2 linked regions of the Oreochromis niloticus genome follow. The protein of the gene in region 2 interacts with the protein of the main gene of each other region in a pairwise test. Links are inferred from orthologs where the notes say so. Each region holds a gene or a part of one and is shown on either strand. Other genes may lie near its edges.

Region 1 (7,011 bases), on a different chromosome or scaffold from region 2:
TCAATTTCAGACTGCAGACCAAGTCCAAGATTCTTCAGTCTACCCAAGCCTACACACATCTCATCTAAGACATTCACAAAAGACATCAGTTCAATTACAGCAGACAAACTTTATATAAAAACATGTTATGTAACTAAATAAGTGCAGCATTTCCCTACCTAAATTTTTGTCAAGAGTCTGGTGAGCCTCCTTCAGGTATATGTTCTTAGGGTATCCATTCTGTTGAGATGAGCCATCATCTATTGATGCAGTAGCTCCAAATCCTAAAACAATGAAATAAGAAATAGTGAGAGCCAGTAAGTGGTGGGAAGATAGCGTAATGTTGAGGTTCTTGTTCCAACACTTACCTCCCGTATCCAGTTTTCTTAGGTTGGGGTGGCTAGCTTGGTACTTATCTTCATTTTCTCTGCTGCTGGCCAAGGCAGTCTGTAATCTGAGAAAGTCAGATAAGAATTGTTCAAACATTTAGGGAGAGACGGTCAATAACAAGTTGTACGCATGAAAGTAAAAAACAAAAATGAATTACCTGAACTTCTAAAAGAAGTTAACATTACTTTAACACAAATTCAGAGTAACTGTTTTAATGCTTTGTTGTAAAATATGATAACTTGCCCCTACACATAACAGCATATCAAACTTTAATATATTGAAACTCCTCTATATCACAGAACTCTTTGATTTGTTAAGGAGTTAAAACATGCAGAAATTAAAACTGGATGATGCTACCACACCTCACTGACACAGAGAATAAAAACAAACTTACCTTTCACTGGCCTTGTAGCCCTTTGGCTGCTCAGGTGGTGGCTTTGTCTCTGGCGTTCCCTTAAAATAATTGACAAGGCCGCCCCACACACTCTTAATACTGTTAATGTGCCTTTGACTGGTCTTCAGGTCTTGATCCATGTTATCCAGCATCTTGTCTGTCCTCTTTATAGCCTCACCCTGTCGCATCAGCTCCTGTAGACAAGAAGGGACTAATTCAGGATGAGGTATGGGAAGACGGGGCCTTTAAAAATAACTCTTTGTTGATTGTCGCCTTTTCAAAGACAGTGTCAATTCTTTGTACAGTAGTGTGAACCTTATTCATTTAAGATACCTCTGCAGTTTCCACACCCATCTTCTCTGATTCATAGATGAGGGAAAGTGAGCGGTAACTGCTATCCACAGCAGACTGCGCTGTACGCATCACTTCCTGCTGGAGACATCTCTGCCTCCTCTCTGCTTCACTCAACCCGCTGTCACTTGGCTCGTCGTCAAACCCCCTACTTTTAGGCTTGAAATCCTCCTCCTCGTCATCATCTGCAAACGGGTTGTGGGATTTAGGGTAGGCCATCTGTGGAGCAAAAACGAATGTTTTGGTAATTTTAGCTAAAGGACTATAAGCCTTTCAACTGTATCACATGATCATCAAGTTACATGTTTTTGTTACCTGTAAATAATGGATTTTAGATTGCTTAAAACTAAAACAACTTCTTGGAACACAATAAAACTATAAACAGGTTAATAAAAGATTAGATATTTGGTTCCAGTCTTGATGATCTTTGGCTTTTTTCAGCTGCTCCCTTTATGGGTTCCCTAAACAGATTATCTGCCACAATCTGACCCTCTCCCTGGCATCCTCTTCTGCCACATAAACCCTCTGCATGTCCTCCTTCGCTATATCCATGAATCTTCTCTGTGGTCTTCTTGTTTTTCCTCTTGCCTGTCAGCTTCATCTTTAACATGCTTTGTCCAATGGATCTAATATCCCTCCTCTGCACATATCCAAACCATCTCAACCACGCCTCTTAAACGTTGTCTCCCAAGACTTGATAATCTTTTAAATTCACTTATTCACTGATTAAATCCTTCAAACAGTCTGAGTGTTGTTTATTGTGACTTCAACTAATTTCGCAAAAGCAACAGTTGTCTCAAGGTGCTTTACATTGAAAGGTAAAGCCTATAATAGCAGAGAGATAACCCAAATTATCCCCTCTGTGTAAGCAGAGGGGATCCCCTCCGTGTAAGCAGAGGGGATCCCCTCCTCTCCCCTGCCCTCAACTTTTACTGGAAGAGACCTCCGGCAGAACCAGGCTCAGTTAAGCACAGGCATCTGCACACATATCTAGCCATTCCATCCATTTTCTTCTGGTTATCCAATTCAGGGTCATGCGTTAGACTGGAACCCATCTCACGAGTCATAGGGAGAAATGCAGAGCTAACACACAGGACACTGCTCCTGCTTTTTAAGCCAGCTTTCGAAGCTAATTGTTTTGGTAATATTTTGATTACCAAGTAGTTTTAAGTCCACTCTTTGGCACAACATGTTGAATTCCATGAACTGAATAAGCGGAGGAAAATGGATAGATCGATGGATAGATCGCACCTCGTCGGGAAGAAAAGTTATGTACTATATTTTGGGATCGGATAGCTGAATACCGGTAATTAAACGATGCGTAACATAATACATCTGCTATTTAGATAATAATTAGTTTCATTACAACAATAAGTTTTTGTTGATAAAAGAAGGTTAATTGTTCATTTCGAAACTTGTCTGAACTCGTGCGATTACGAAAGCTCCAGCGTGTTAGCTTCGGCTAACTTCAACGTTGTCCAACAAGTAATTCGAGCAACAGTTAGGCTTGTCAACATATTTCACATTAATCATCTGCAACAATACCTGCTGTGTTATATTAAGAGGAGAAAAATAAAACAGTATTGCAAGTCAAGAAATGTTTGATGTATCGCCGGGGTGTTGGTTTGCTAGTCAACTGTTAGCTTAACTGCCAGTCAACTAAAACGACCACATCCGCAAGCGTCACCACAGGCAATTTTCTCTTATTGAACAAATGCTGTCTAAAACGAAAGTGTAAAAAAAAAAAAAAAAAGACACAAAAAAGAACGATTAACTTAACAGACGAACCTTTGACCACAGGAGCCGTGGCAGACGCTGTTGTTGCTCTATCAGCTGACTGAACTCTTCCTATCGCGTTTGATGACGTTGCACACACACTGTCGCGACAGCTGATCTTGCGTAAAGGAAACGCACACCACGGCGATATTGGGGTTACTTACTGATAAAAACCCACGCAGGTTGTAATGTAAATAATATAAATACAATCCATACATTTGCTTAATTTGATCTATTTCAAGCCCTTTGTGAGTGAGTTGCTACGGTAACGAAGAGCCCCTGTTAGAAATGTCCCTGCTGAGTTGCCGTACTGCGGCTTTCCCAGGCAGCCCCGCTCGCTTGTTTCCTCTCAGCGATGAATTGCGCTGGTTTAATGTAGGGGTAAACATGTCCGTAATGGGAGGTGGTACGAGGGGGTTTTATTTTAATACAGTCCTGTCGCTGGCCCGCTCATTGGCCGCACACCGCCCCGCACCGGTCGAAAAGGTGAGAAAACAAGCTTGAGCTCCAAAAACACGCAATAATTAACCATGTTAGTAATTAGAAGCAGTGGCAGGGTTGTTCAGGGTGTAGCTGCGCTTCCGCACAGGCGGTGGCTTATTTTGATCAACGACATGACAACCAAGCTAACATTTAACAGTTATGTTTGTATGTTTGTGTGCGCGACTCCGTGGTTAGAAATCTCTAAAACGCGAGCCGTGGTGTCCAAAACCCTGAAGCAGAAAAGTGGGCAGTGCAGAGGAAAGTGGCGTTGCTGTGTGGTGCCTGTTACTGCATCGGACGGACAGAGCGGTCAAGCTTGATCGGCACTGCAGTCAAACAGGTTTACAGAGAAATGTTTGAGACAGGAGTTCATTCACAGGCTGCTCTGTTTGTCTTTACTGCTATCAAAATCCGCCTACATGTGTTATATAGTTGGAAACCTGTTGCAGATTGATAGTTGGGTCTTGCCAATATAGGAAAGGTTTTTAAAAAAACAAAACAAAACACAATGGGTACATTTTGTAAATGAAAGTAAAGGGTATTAGAGGGGAACATATGAAGCCATTATCAATAAGCTGTCACCAAGTGTTGTAACTTTAAGGGCTATTATGGGTTATGTTATGTAATTCCCAGTTCTACTGTGTGTTTGAGCTGTAGGGAGGAAACTGCCTAGCAGTTTATCTGATATCATAAATGCATGTATCTTAATATCTCTGGCTTGCTGGGTTACACAGTGTGCATAAAAGTGTACAGATTCCAGATGTCATCGGGTAGATGATCAGGTGACCCTGAGCCATCCCTTAGTTAAGCTGTAATAGGGCAAGGTGCTGGAGGCTTCTCATGATGCACCATGTTTCTTCTTCTTTTTCTTTTCACTGTCCCTGTGTTTATATCTCACTTTACTTTTAACCCTTAGTTATTATTAAGCCCTGGCTCTCTTCCACAGTGTCTTATGTCCTGTTTCCCACCCCCCACCCCCAAGCTGTCTTGGCAGATGGCTGCCCTTCCCAGAGTCTGGTTTTCCTTGAGGTTTATTTTTGTTAAAAGGGAGTTTTTCCTAGCTGCTTTCGCCAAGTGCTTGCTCATAAGGGAGGGTTGTCTGATTGTTGGGGATTTCTCTCTATTAGTGTTGTTGAATTTAATTGAACAGTGCAAGTCTTAACAAATATTACTTTCATTTGAACATACACTCACTCTGAAACATCTGGAAGTTTGCTTCCACAACTGAAAAAAAGTATTTTGCTATCTGTAATTCAAAACTTTTGGTAATTATCTCAAAACTTTTACTTAGTAACTCATACTTATTAGAAAATGACTTGAAATTTCAAGTTATTAAGGGTAATACTTGAGAAAATAACCCCCAAATTTTGACTTATGGATGGTAACACATGCTTGTTTTTCAGTAGCAGAAACAAGCTTCTATACAAACAGTTTTTAACACTTGACATATTGTCTAATGCTGTAGTGTTATGTTTTCATATGCTGTGTGACACAAACACACTGGGCTGTCAAGTGAGATAAATCAGCTTAATGTGTGAATATTACCAGCCTGGACTGTTACTTTAATATTCTTTTTTGGCCTTTTAGGTCCAGAAGCTGCAATGTATGTGTCCAGTGGAAGTCCGTGGTGTGTTCACTCTGGATGTGCGTCGCAGAGATGCTGTTATTGCACTGGCTGTGTTTTTGGTGGAATCTGGCTTACAGGTGGGTGGTTGTCAGTAAAAGGCTGAGGAGTGTTTTGAATACAGTATTTTCATTTTACTTCAAGCTGTTATGGTAATACAGTAGATTTAAGATTTCATAGTTTAGGTCATTAGATAGTGAAGTATTGGCATTGCATATTGACACAATACCAATTTTCTATTTTCCTAACTGCTTATCAAACTCTGTTTCACAGGTATAGTAATTGTAATATTGTATTAGAACTATTAGTCCACGTTTGCTCCTGCGCTCTCCTCGGACTCTACATGTATCCCTGTGATAAGCTTATTCTCATAATCTGATTAAGCTGGCGATTAGACATGCAGTTAGCCGTGTAAGCCGCTAACCTCATCACACTTAGACACAGTTGGGAAAGCTTCCTTTCTGTCTGACAGCATAGTGCTGGATGCCTTACTTTTATTTTTAAAGCTGTGATACACTTTCTTTGACCCAGATTTGCTTGTGTGAGATAACCTCGTTGTTTTGATCCGTCAGTGCTTGTCAGGCATGCAAAAGTGCTGATTTTATGCTGCCGAGTCCACTTGTTTGTGGTGTGTAATGATTTGTTTTACTCCTGCAGCACAAAGACATACTTGTTTCTTACTTGCTGAGCCTACTGAGAGGGCTGCCACGGGTCCAATGGATCGAAGAAAGCTCAGGAAAGAAAGGAAAGGGTAAGAAGAATCCTCTTATAGTGAGGCTTTTAGTTTTACAATAGACTCCTTTTACTTGTGGCAGTAGAATTTCTAGCAATTCTTATTAATTAATTGTACTGTATTGAGATGTATTACACTGGACAGATGGGTTAATTTATACTTGAATTGCATATTGTGAACTGCTGCTTCTGTTCCACTTAATGCTGTGTTGCTCTGTATCTGATGTTTACATTTTTGGCAAATCTGCTTATCATTATTTCTTTTCTTTTGTTCAACCTTATGAGGCATTCAATTCAACTGTATCTGTGTAACTTTCTGCTCCTCAGAATTTCTCCCTGTAGCAGAAAACTTCAGCTTCTGTCTAGTGACTCTTCTGTCAGATGTGGCTCAGAGGGATCCAGACTCAAGACAAGAGGTCTGTTTAAAAAGTGGTGATAAATCGTTATATTATTCTCAGGGTTGGGGTGCATTGCATTGAAGTGCTAACTCACTGTTTTTGCACTGTTTTCCCTATAGATCTTAAACACTATAATGGAGGTCATGCAGGCGTTACAGGATATGTGCCAAACACCGGATAATCATGACAAAGGTATAGATAGAAATGCAACAAACATTCTGACTTTTGCTTTTAAAACAAAAAAAAGAACCTTAACGCTGCTCTTTTTTGTCTGCAGTCTTCCTGTGCAAGTATATTGTTCCCAGCCTGCTTGGCATGACTCGGGCATTTGGCCGCTACAGCCACACAGATGAAGCTCTGTTATCCAAGTTGTTCCCCAAAGATTCTCCTCAGGCACGATGCGTTACAGAGGAAACAGAGGGTGTACGGCGCAGATCCTTCAATGACTTTCGTTCTATTCTACCGTCCTCACTGCTTACAGTGTGCCAGAGTGATACTCTGCGCAGACGCACCGGGACCAACCTAGATTCATCTGCACAGGTCGGTACATGTTGCCGGATTCAAGACGTGTTTTGCTTGTTCAGGATAATTAGGGGAGAATCCAGAGCAATAATAGTTTTATTTGCTTTGTTAATTTATATTATTCAATGATGTTGGTATGTTTCGTTACCCATTAAAGTTGTGTAATGTGCTTTCAAACAGATCAGTACAGATCCAGGAGGCCACTCACCCTGCTCTCCTACAACTCCTAGTCCACATTACTTGGAAGGTAAAACTGAAGAAACAGAAGTTACTTTAAAAATAATTGTGTCTTAGTTTTTAGTTTGACTCTATAGTCTGGTAATTCAGCTCAGCTTGTTATTATCAGCTGTCTGTCAGCATTA
Region 2 (6,980 bases):
TGACACGTGGTGTAGTAAGAGCTTTGAGTGCTGAAGTACCAAAGTGAGATATAAGGACCATTTACCAAAATCAGCAACACCGGAAGACTTAAACGAGCAGAGGAGGCAGCTAAAGAGTATGATCACAGAGTAAGTGTTTCCACAGTTCAGCAAAACAGCCTCACAACATTTAACCAAGTGAGGATCGATGTCGAGGTCGTGAATCAAAATGTTCTCGCATAACGAGACCTCAGTGGAGTCCTTAAACTCCACTCAGTGTACATTTATGTGACATGAAAACTGTCTAAACAGTACAGTGGATTTCAAAGTTAGCATCAGATTATCTACATATTTCTTAACCTGCTGAGGTTACCTATGTGCAGCCTGATCCTGGCCTCTTGGCCTGGGGGCTCTGCATTCAAGGGGTCGATTTTTAATAGGAAGTCAATCAATAAGCTTCAGCTTGTAGTCACATTTGATAAGGTTTGTGTTCACACATGAAGGCTGCAGTAAGCTTTGTTTATTCCAACACAACAGTGCTCATCCACAGTCAGACTGAAGCCTACATGATGATGATGATGATGATGCATCTCTATAAAATAAATGCATTCTTTAATTTGAAATCAGGAGACTTGAAATACTCAGGAAGCTGAATCTCCTAGTTGTCCTGCTTCGTGTTATAAACATGACACAAACAAACAGAAACTGGAATGCAGTGACGTGTTTCAGCTTCAGCAGCTTCATTCAATCACATCGGTGGATATCTTCCAAAATAATTGTGTTTTCAGACAGGAAGAGATATTTTACTGTGAAAGGGAGGATTAACTGTATAATGAGGGGTACCTGTGAAATCCATCATCTGTGCTGAAAACATCAGCAGCAGGTCTGATCCAGGAGCAGCGCGACAGAGACGAGGGACCGAAGCTTTTTAAAACCTTATTATGGTCCAAAGTCAGACAGGCTTTTAACTGAAGCTGTAAATGAAGCTGACTGTGATCCTGTTTCATGTCATCATGCACAGATACACGACCTGCTGGTAGAAAGAGTTTGTCTGACCTCTGTGCTCGTTACAAGCAGCACCGTGTTTCACAGCTACACCTTCTCAAACAGCGATGCTGAAGCTGAAAGACGGCTTTGCAGCGTTTTATCTGCTGTCTCTGATACTAAGTGGCACAGCTGTGATACTCTTCCAGCATAGAAATATGTAAAACAATTAACAGGCCAACTAGTAAATGAGAGTAACTGGGCCCATGAAGGCATTCGTTCACGGTGGCAGGGCACACTGTGGTGCTGTAAACATTAGCCTGAGCTCTCCACAGATTGAGATGTTAGCTTTTGTATGTTTCACTGCAGGAAACAGAGCCACCGGAGACCCATTGTTGTGGATTAAACCAGTGGGATGAACGGAGGAGCGTGAGGGGGAGGGTGGTGGAGGGCATGGTCACAGGCAGCTGGAGGAGGATTACCTTATAGTCACATATCTTTAATAAAGGCTCAATGTGAGCACAGACTGCTGCAGTGTTATGGAGATGAAGGTGTAAGGGTGAGGTCAGTGAAGACTGAGCACCCCCACAGACTTCTCTGGTGACCCTGAAAGCCGACCCCCTCCACAGGGTCAGAGGTCACTGACTCTCAGCTCATTCTGTGCTCTGAGTTAAGGACAGAAAACAAACTGTTTTAAACCTGCTGTGCTTTTCCCAAAAACAAACTTTTTCTGTCTCCAGCTCTGCTGCTCGCTCGGCGGGGTTACTACATCATGACCTAAATATAAATGAAAACTGCATTTTTTCTTTTAGATTTTCAGTTTTATTTGAAATCCTATTTTGAATGTGTAGAAATACAGTTATGTGAAATGTATGTGCTGTGAATACAAAGAGCCTTGCTTAGGCTAATGTTTGTTTGTGGAATATTAACAGTCACCACCCATATTACTCCGTAGAGTGGAGAGGAACCCCAATAATTCACCCCCACCCCCACCAAACTAATATCCATTCAACGCTGAACCATCAGCATTGAAAATGTGTGGGTGGGAGGAAAATTGGAATAATGGTCACTGAATTTACATCAAGTCTGAAACAGGTTTAGTTATATCATCGGTATATTATCGTCAGACAGGCTGGGCTCTTGTTCCAAAACGATAAAGATATTCACTGTCAGTGAGATCTGCACATGGTGTCAGAGTAAGAGATGGATAAACATCTGCAGTGAGAAATAAAGGTTATTAATATTGTGATGTTTTATAAAATGCTGTTGCTCTTTTGGATGAACTCACTTCCACACTCACCAGCTTTGAGTGGGATAATTCTGTTTCTACACCGTGTGACTCTCGTGTACACGTACAAACAAGACAAAACTCATGTCCACCTGCAGCCTGTGCAGGTCAAAACACACGAGGCCTGGTCTTTATGAAACTTAAGGACAAACAAACAGCAGCACTTACCGAGGAGTAGTTTTGTTTATCAAATGACAAAATGTTCTGCCCATTAATCAACACTGAACTGAACTAATATCAGTCTAGAAACTCATAGGAGGACAGAGCAGCAATCACACCATAATGTGTGAATATCTGCCAGTGCAGGTGAAGGCGAGGTCTACTTACTGAAACTGTAGAAGGCTGTGAGCCAGCTGAGGAAGGTTACTAGTTTCATTTTGGTCTCCAGCGTCCTCGCTGTTAAAGCTTCTCAACCCGCAAAACCCCAAAATCCAAAAGAGGAAAAAAGTCAAACGGACAGCCAGTTTCTTCTGTGCTCTCCTGCTGCGTGTCTTCTTTGGTAGGACAGCATAAACGGACACTTTCTGTGTCAGATCATTGCTCCTCTTCTGTCCTTCTCAGCATTCAGCCTCCACAAGGTTCATGTTCAAAGCTGCTCTGAGCATCGAGCGAGGAAGAGACCTCAGTGTGGACAGAGCTCATTAGTTATTCTGCTTCATTGTTGTCAGTGAATGGACACTGACACAGAGGTTTGTGGCAGGTTTGCGTCCTACCAACCAATCACAGCCCCAGAGCAACATAAGGGTGGTAGCTCAGCCCGGGAGCCATGATTGATAATCATTTAAAGAGAGGTCTTCTGGTTGGCCGCTGCCTGATGGACCAGCTGTGGCCTGAGCCCGAAACCCCTCGCAGGCTGGCTGGAGTTGTGATCCTGGGATACTTCCACCAGGCATAAAGAATCCAAGTGGAAAATACTCTGGATTCACAGGAAATCCAGTTTGGATTCAGGAGGGTTACATCGAAATATTCCTTAGCTATGCTGCAATAGGTCATTAGGGCTTTCCATGAGTGTTTCTTCTTCACTTACCTTTTTCATGTGTTTATAGACCACTCTGCATTTCATCATGCTGTTGAGATTTGGCACTGTATAAATAAAACTGGACTGAATTCAGCTGAACTTGTGAAAACATGAAACAAACACCTAAGCTGAGGCAAGTGAGGCCTGGTGTTTGTTCCTTTCATGAGTAATTATGGTAGGCCAGTATTTAAAAATAGTGTGCTGTATTTAGTCTACTTATACTTGTCTGACATTAACATTTGTTTGGTGATATGAAACATTTAAGTTGAACAGATAACTGTTTGTTCTGGAGAGAAGAGGAATGAAAGTCAGTAGAAGCAAGACAGAATACTTGTGTGGGTGAGAGGGAGACAGGTGAACAATCAAGAAATACAGGGAGTGAAGGTGGTTTAAATACCTCAGGTCAACCATCCACAGCAACAGACAGCGCACAAGAGAGGTGAAGAAGAGAGTGCAGGCGGGTGGAGTGGGTGGAGGGGTTATTTGTAGTGAGCCCTACTATGATGGGTGGTTTAGCAGAGGTGGCAAAAGTACACCATTCTTTACTTAAGTAGTTAAGACAGACTAATTTGCTTGATGAGGGAAAGTTTGGGCCACACTCCACTCCAGTTGGTGGCGCTAATGCACCATTTCGCTGTTTGCAACCTCCAATAAATGCCAAGAAGAAGAAGAAGTGACGCAGTGATATCACGGACCAGGAAGAGCAGCGTATTTACTACAGGACGAGAAGCTTTACCAACCTATGTGTTCGTTTCAGACAGCTTCATAAGTAAGTATGGGCTGGTTTCTTTTCCACGGTAAACGCCAGCCTCAGCGACGCCATGTTGTTTCTTTGTCTTATTCATCACACTGTGTTACCGGAAACAACCAACAGCTGACAGATTAGTGTCCCGAAGCTAGGAAGCGAGGAGCCGAGCCCGTCCAGCAGCCTGCAACACCCGGGAGATAAACAGAAAAAGCCCGACGAGGTCGCTGGCTTGGTGATTTAGGAACACACCAAATTAATAAGAGCTTACGTTCCCAAATATGGCTGCGCGTCGGCTGGCACACGCCCAGATAAACTAGCTAACTCGTTAGCAAGCTAACAGCTGTTGTTCCGACTAAGTGCCATTATTTTCAGCTCCGGTCTGCCGTCAATAACTGTACCCGGACTTTGAGACATGCAGCTGTACAAACCCCAGAACCGCACCGAGGAGCTGTCATACAGTGAAACCGAATCGGTGCTTTCTGATCCCTCTCTTTTTCTCTGCAGCCAAAGCTTAAGGTCCAAGGCTCCATCACAAACATGTCCTATGGTAAAGCAGAGAGCCGCTCGGTCCCACGGGACTTCGGCACCCTGATACAGACATGCAGCTCCAACATCCAGAAGATCACACAGAACAGTAAGTGCTTCACTTCCTTTGAAACGGCAGTGTGATGTGGCTGTACTCTGTAACAGCGAAAGGGTCCCATATAAGAAGACCGGTGTTTCTGAGGTGGGGGGTGTTTAACTGTAGTAGTAAAAAAGCATAAATAACTGGTCTCCGAGCACGCTGAGAGCCAGAGCTGTGCAGAGAATACCATTATTTTTATCATGGTGCAACCGACACAGCGAAGGTGAGACAAAATTAATGACAGTGTTTTCCAAACGTCTTCTTTTGCTGCTGGTTCAGATAATTTTGGTCAGTGAGACATGAAACCTGCAGATTCAGAATCTGTGACATTTCCAGCTGTGTGTCCGTGTACAGATGTGGCCCACGGGCCATACGTTTGACACCCCTGCTCGAGGCTTTTTAAATGCCAACTTGTTTTTAGACCAAAGATTTTCTTGTTCTTACAGCTCACGTGTTTGTTACAGTTGTTTGTTGTTTTATTGGTTTACTATTGTGGCTTTCACTTCAGCTTTTTCCACAGTACTGTGCAGTAGCAGAAATTTCTATTAGTGTTCTCTCCAGTGTGTAACACTGTTAAGACATCCAAACTATGACACAATATTTATGTTGTGAGAAAGAATGACACCAAAGCTGGATTTGTGTTGAGTTTCAAAGGAGCTTATTTACCTGTAACAGCCTCACATACGTTATTCTCTCATCCAGCTTCATTAGGCCCTCTCCTAGAGCACTTCATCAAGTGTTCGAGGCTTTTTTTCTTTATTGCCACTGTGTAAACAGATTATAACTCAAGTAAAAAAGTGGCACCTTCCTCGACACTTCCTGTCGCCTTTAACAGGGTGTGGACTGAGTCATATGTGAAAGCTGCAGCAGGATTTTCATTGAATATGAATACATGTTCATGCCCACAATGTCCGACTGCATGTTGATTGTAATATTTTTGGGAAAGATTTACAAAAGTATTGCAAGCAATAAATTGTATGACCTGTTTACCCACAAAGTCTGCACACAAGCGAAAAATGAACAGTTTCTCAAATTAAGGCGTGTCCTTTCTGTGAGAGGCTTTAAGCAGTGACCCGGCCAGGACAACAAATACAAACACAGAATCACCCAGATACACCTGAAAAACTGTACAAGCGATTGAACACAACAGCCAGATCATCACTGGGTACTTTTCACTTCCTTATATCGTTGTTTATGTGTATGTTCTGAAATCCCTCAGCTTCTGTTTCAGGTCACACTGATGATGATGATGATGATGATGATGGCTCATAGCAAACACACGTGTCTGACACAAATGTGAACATTAAGAAGCAGCATCAAACTGTGATGACTACAGATGATGTCATCTCTGTATAACTACCAGGAACAAAGTGCAGCTTCTTTCTTGTGTCACTTGTATATTTTTCTTCCAAAACTGAGTGCTATCATTGTGTTCCCATGGCAGCGGCTCAGATAAAGACCATGGTGAACCAGCTGGGGACCAGACAGGACACCAGTGAACTGCAGGATCGGCTGTATGTACCGATATCATCTCCTCTGCTAAACAAACACACTTTCAGTCACCTTCACTTTCTCAGAGCCAGCGCTGCCACGCTGTAGCGACTCTGTTGAACTGTCCTATAAGAAATGTATTTGTGTAATTATTAGAAGGTCTTATGGTCTGTCTGCTGTTTGAACTGTTGGTGTTCACAGGCAGCAGACACAACACTACACCAACCAACTGGCAAAAGAAACCAACAAACACCTGAAAGAGCTGGGATCAATCCCTCTGCCCTCATCGCCTTCAGAGCAAGTAAGTACTCGTTTACATGTCCTAATGAAAGTAGCACTGTACTGATTCTTCTATAGCTTACAGTCACAGCACTTTCTACAACATGCCTCATTCACCCATCCAAAGTTCCCACTGCTCCTCCTCCTGAGCTACAGCCACCTAACAATGGATGATGTCAAACTGTAAGATAAATATGCACACTAAGTTTGAAAGTGTGACTATGGAGCCTGTTCTTACAGCACAGGCTGAGTGATGCTGACAGACCCACTTGGTTTAATTGGAATTTCATTCAGCCAACATTGTGGCTCAGGACACACACACACACACACACTCAGGACACAGTGTGTACAGTATGTCATCATTCGTTGACATTTCATGTGTGGTGAAGGAAAAATTACTTTGAGACAACTGCAGAGTTTAGCTTAACAAATGGACACATACAGCTGAGATATTTTTGCTTTCAAAATCAGGATATTTTACTGCTGACTTTTCCAGTCTTCTACTGTCTCTCCGAAGCTTTGCAATAAAAACTCTGGTGCTGCACGTGGTGCTTCGGATATCTGCTTT

What was found. The genes of interacting proteins can lie anywhere in the genome.
Region 1: the proteins of stx12 (region 2) and snap29 interact in binary tests that used the Homo sapiens proteins (3 or more experiments, as listed by UniProt). The link is inferred for Oreochromis niloticus from reciprocal best matches to the Homo sapiens genes STX12 and SNAP29.

The regions. Positions count from the first base shown.
Region 1 is NC_031977.2:26,077,534-26,084,544, forward strand, and holds the start of snap29 (synaptosomal-associated protein 29), read right to left. Parts: upstream 3,042-7,011; 5' UTR 2,903-3,041; intron 2,822-2,902; exon of another isoform or gene 2,660-2,821; intron 1,334-2,659; coding exon 1,097-1,333; intron 958-1,096; coding exon 764-957; intron 434-763; coding exon 348-433; intron 264-347; coding exon 159-263; intron 65-158; coding exon 1-64. Other genes in the region: pi4kab (phosphatidylinositol 4-kinase, catalytic, alpha b), read left to right, coding at 3,179-3,376, 4,961-5,077, 5,655-5,748, 6,057-6,145, 6,247-6,319, 6,405-6,667, 6,830-6,896. UniProt on the Homo sapiens protein: SNAREs, soluble N-ethylmaleimide-sensitive factor-attachment protein receptors, are essential proteins for fusion of cellular membranes.
Region 2 is NC_031985.2:38,176,093-38,183,072, reverse strand, and holds the start of stx12 (syntaxin-12), read left to right. Parts: upstream 1-3,881; 5' UTR 3,882-4,038; intron 4,039-4,521; 5' UTR 4,522-4,554; coding exon 4,555-4,651; intron 4,652-6,086; coding exon 6,087-6,156; intron 6,157-6,334; coding exon 6,335-6,434; intron 6,435-6,980. Other genes in the region: si:ch211-57n23.4 (immunoglobulin superfamily DCC subclass member 3), read right to left, coding at 2,579-2,627. UniProt on the Homo sapiens protein: SNARE promoting fusion of transport vesicles with target membranes. Together with SNARE STX6, promotes movement of vesicles from endosomes to the cell membrane, and may therefore function in the endocytic recycling pathway.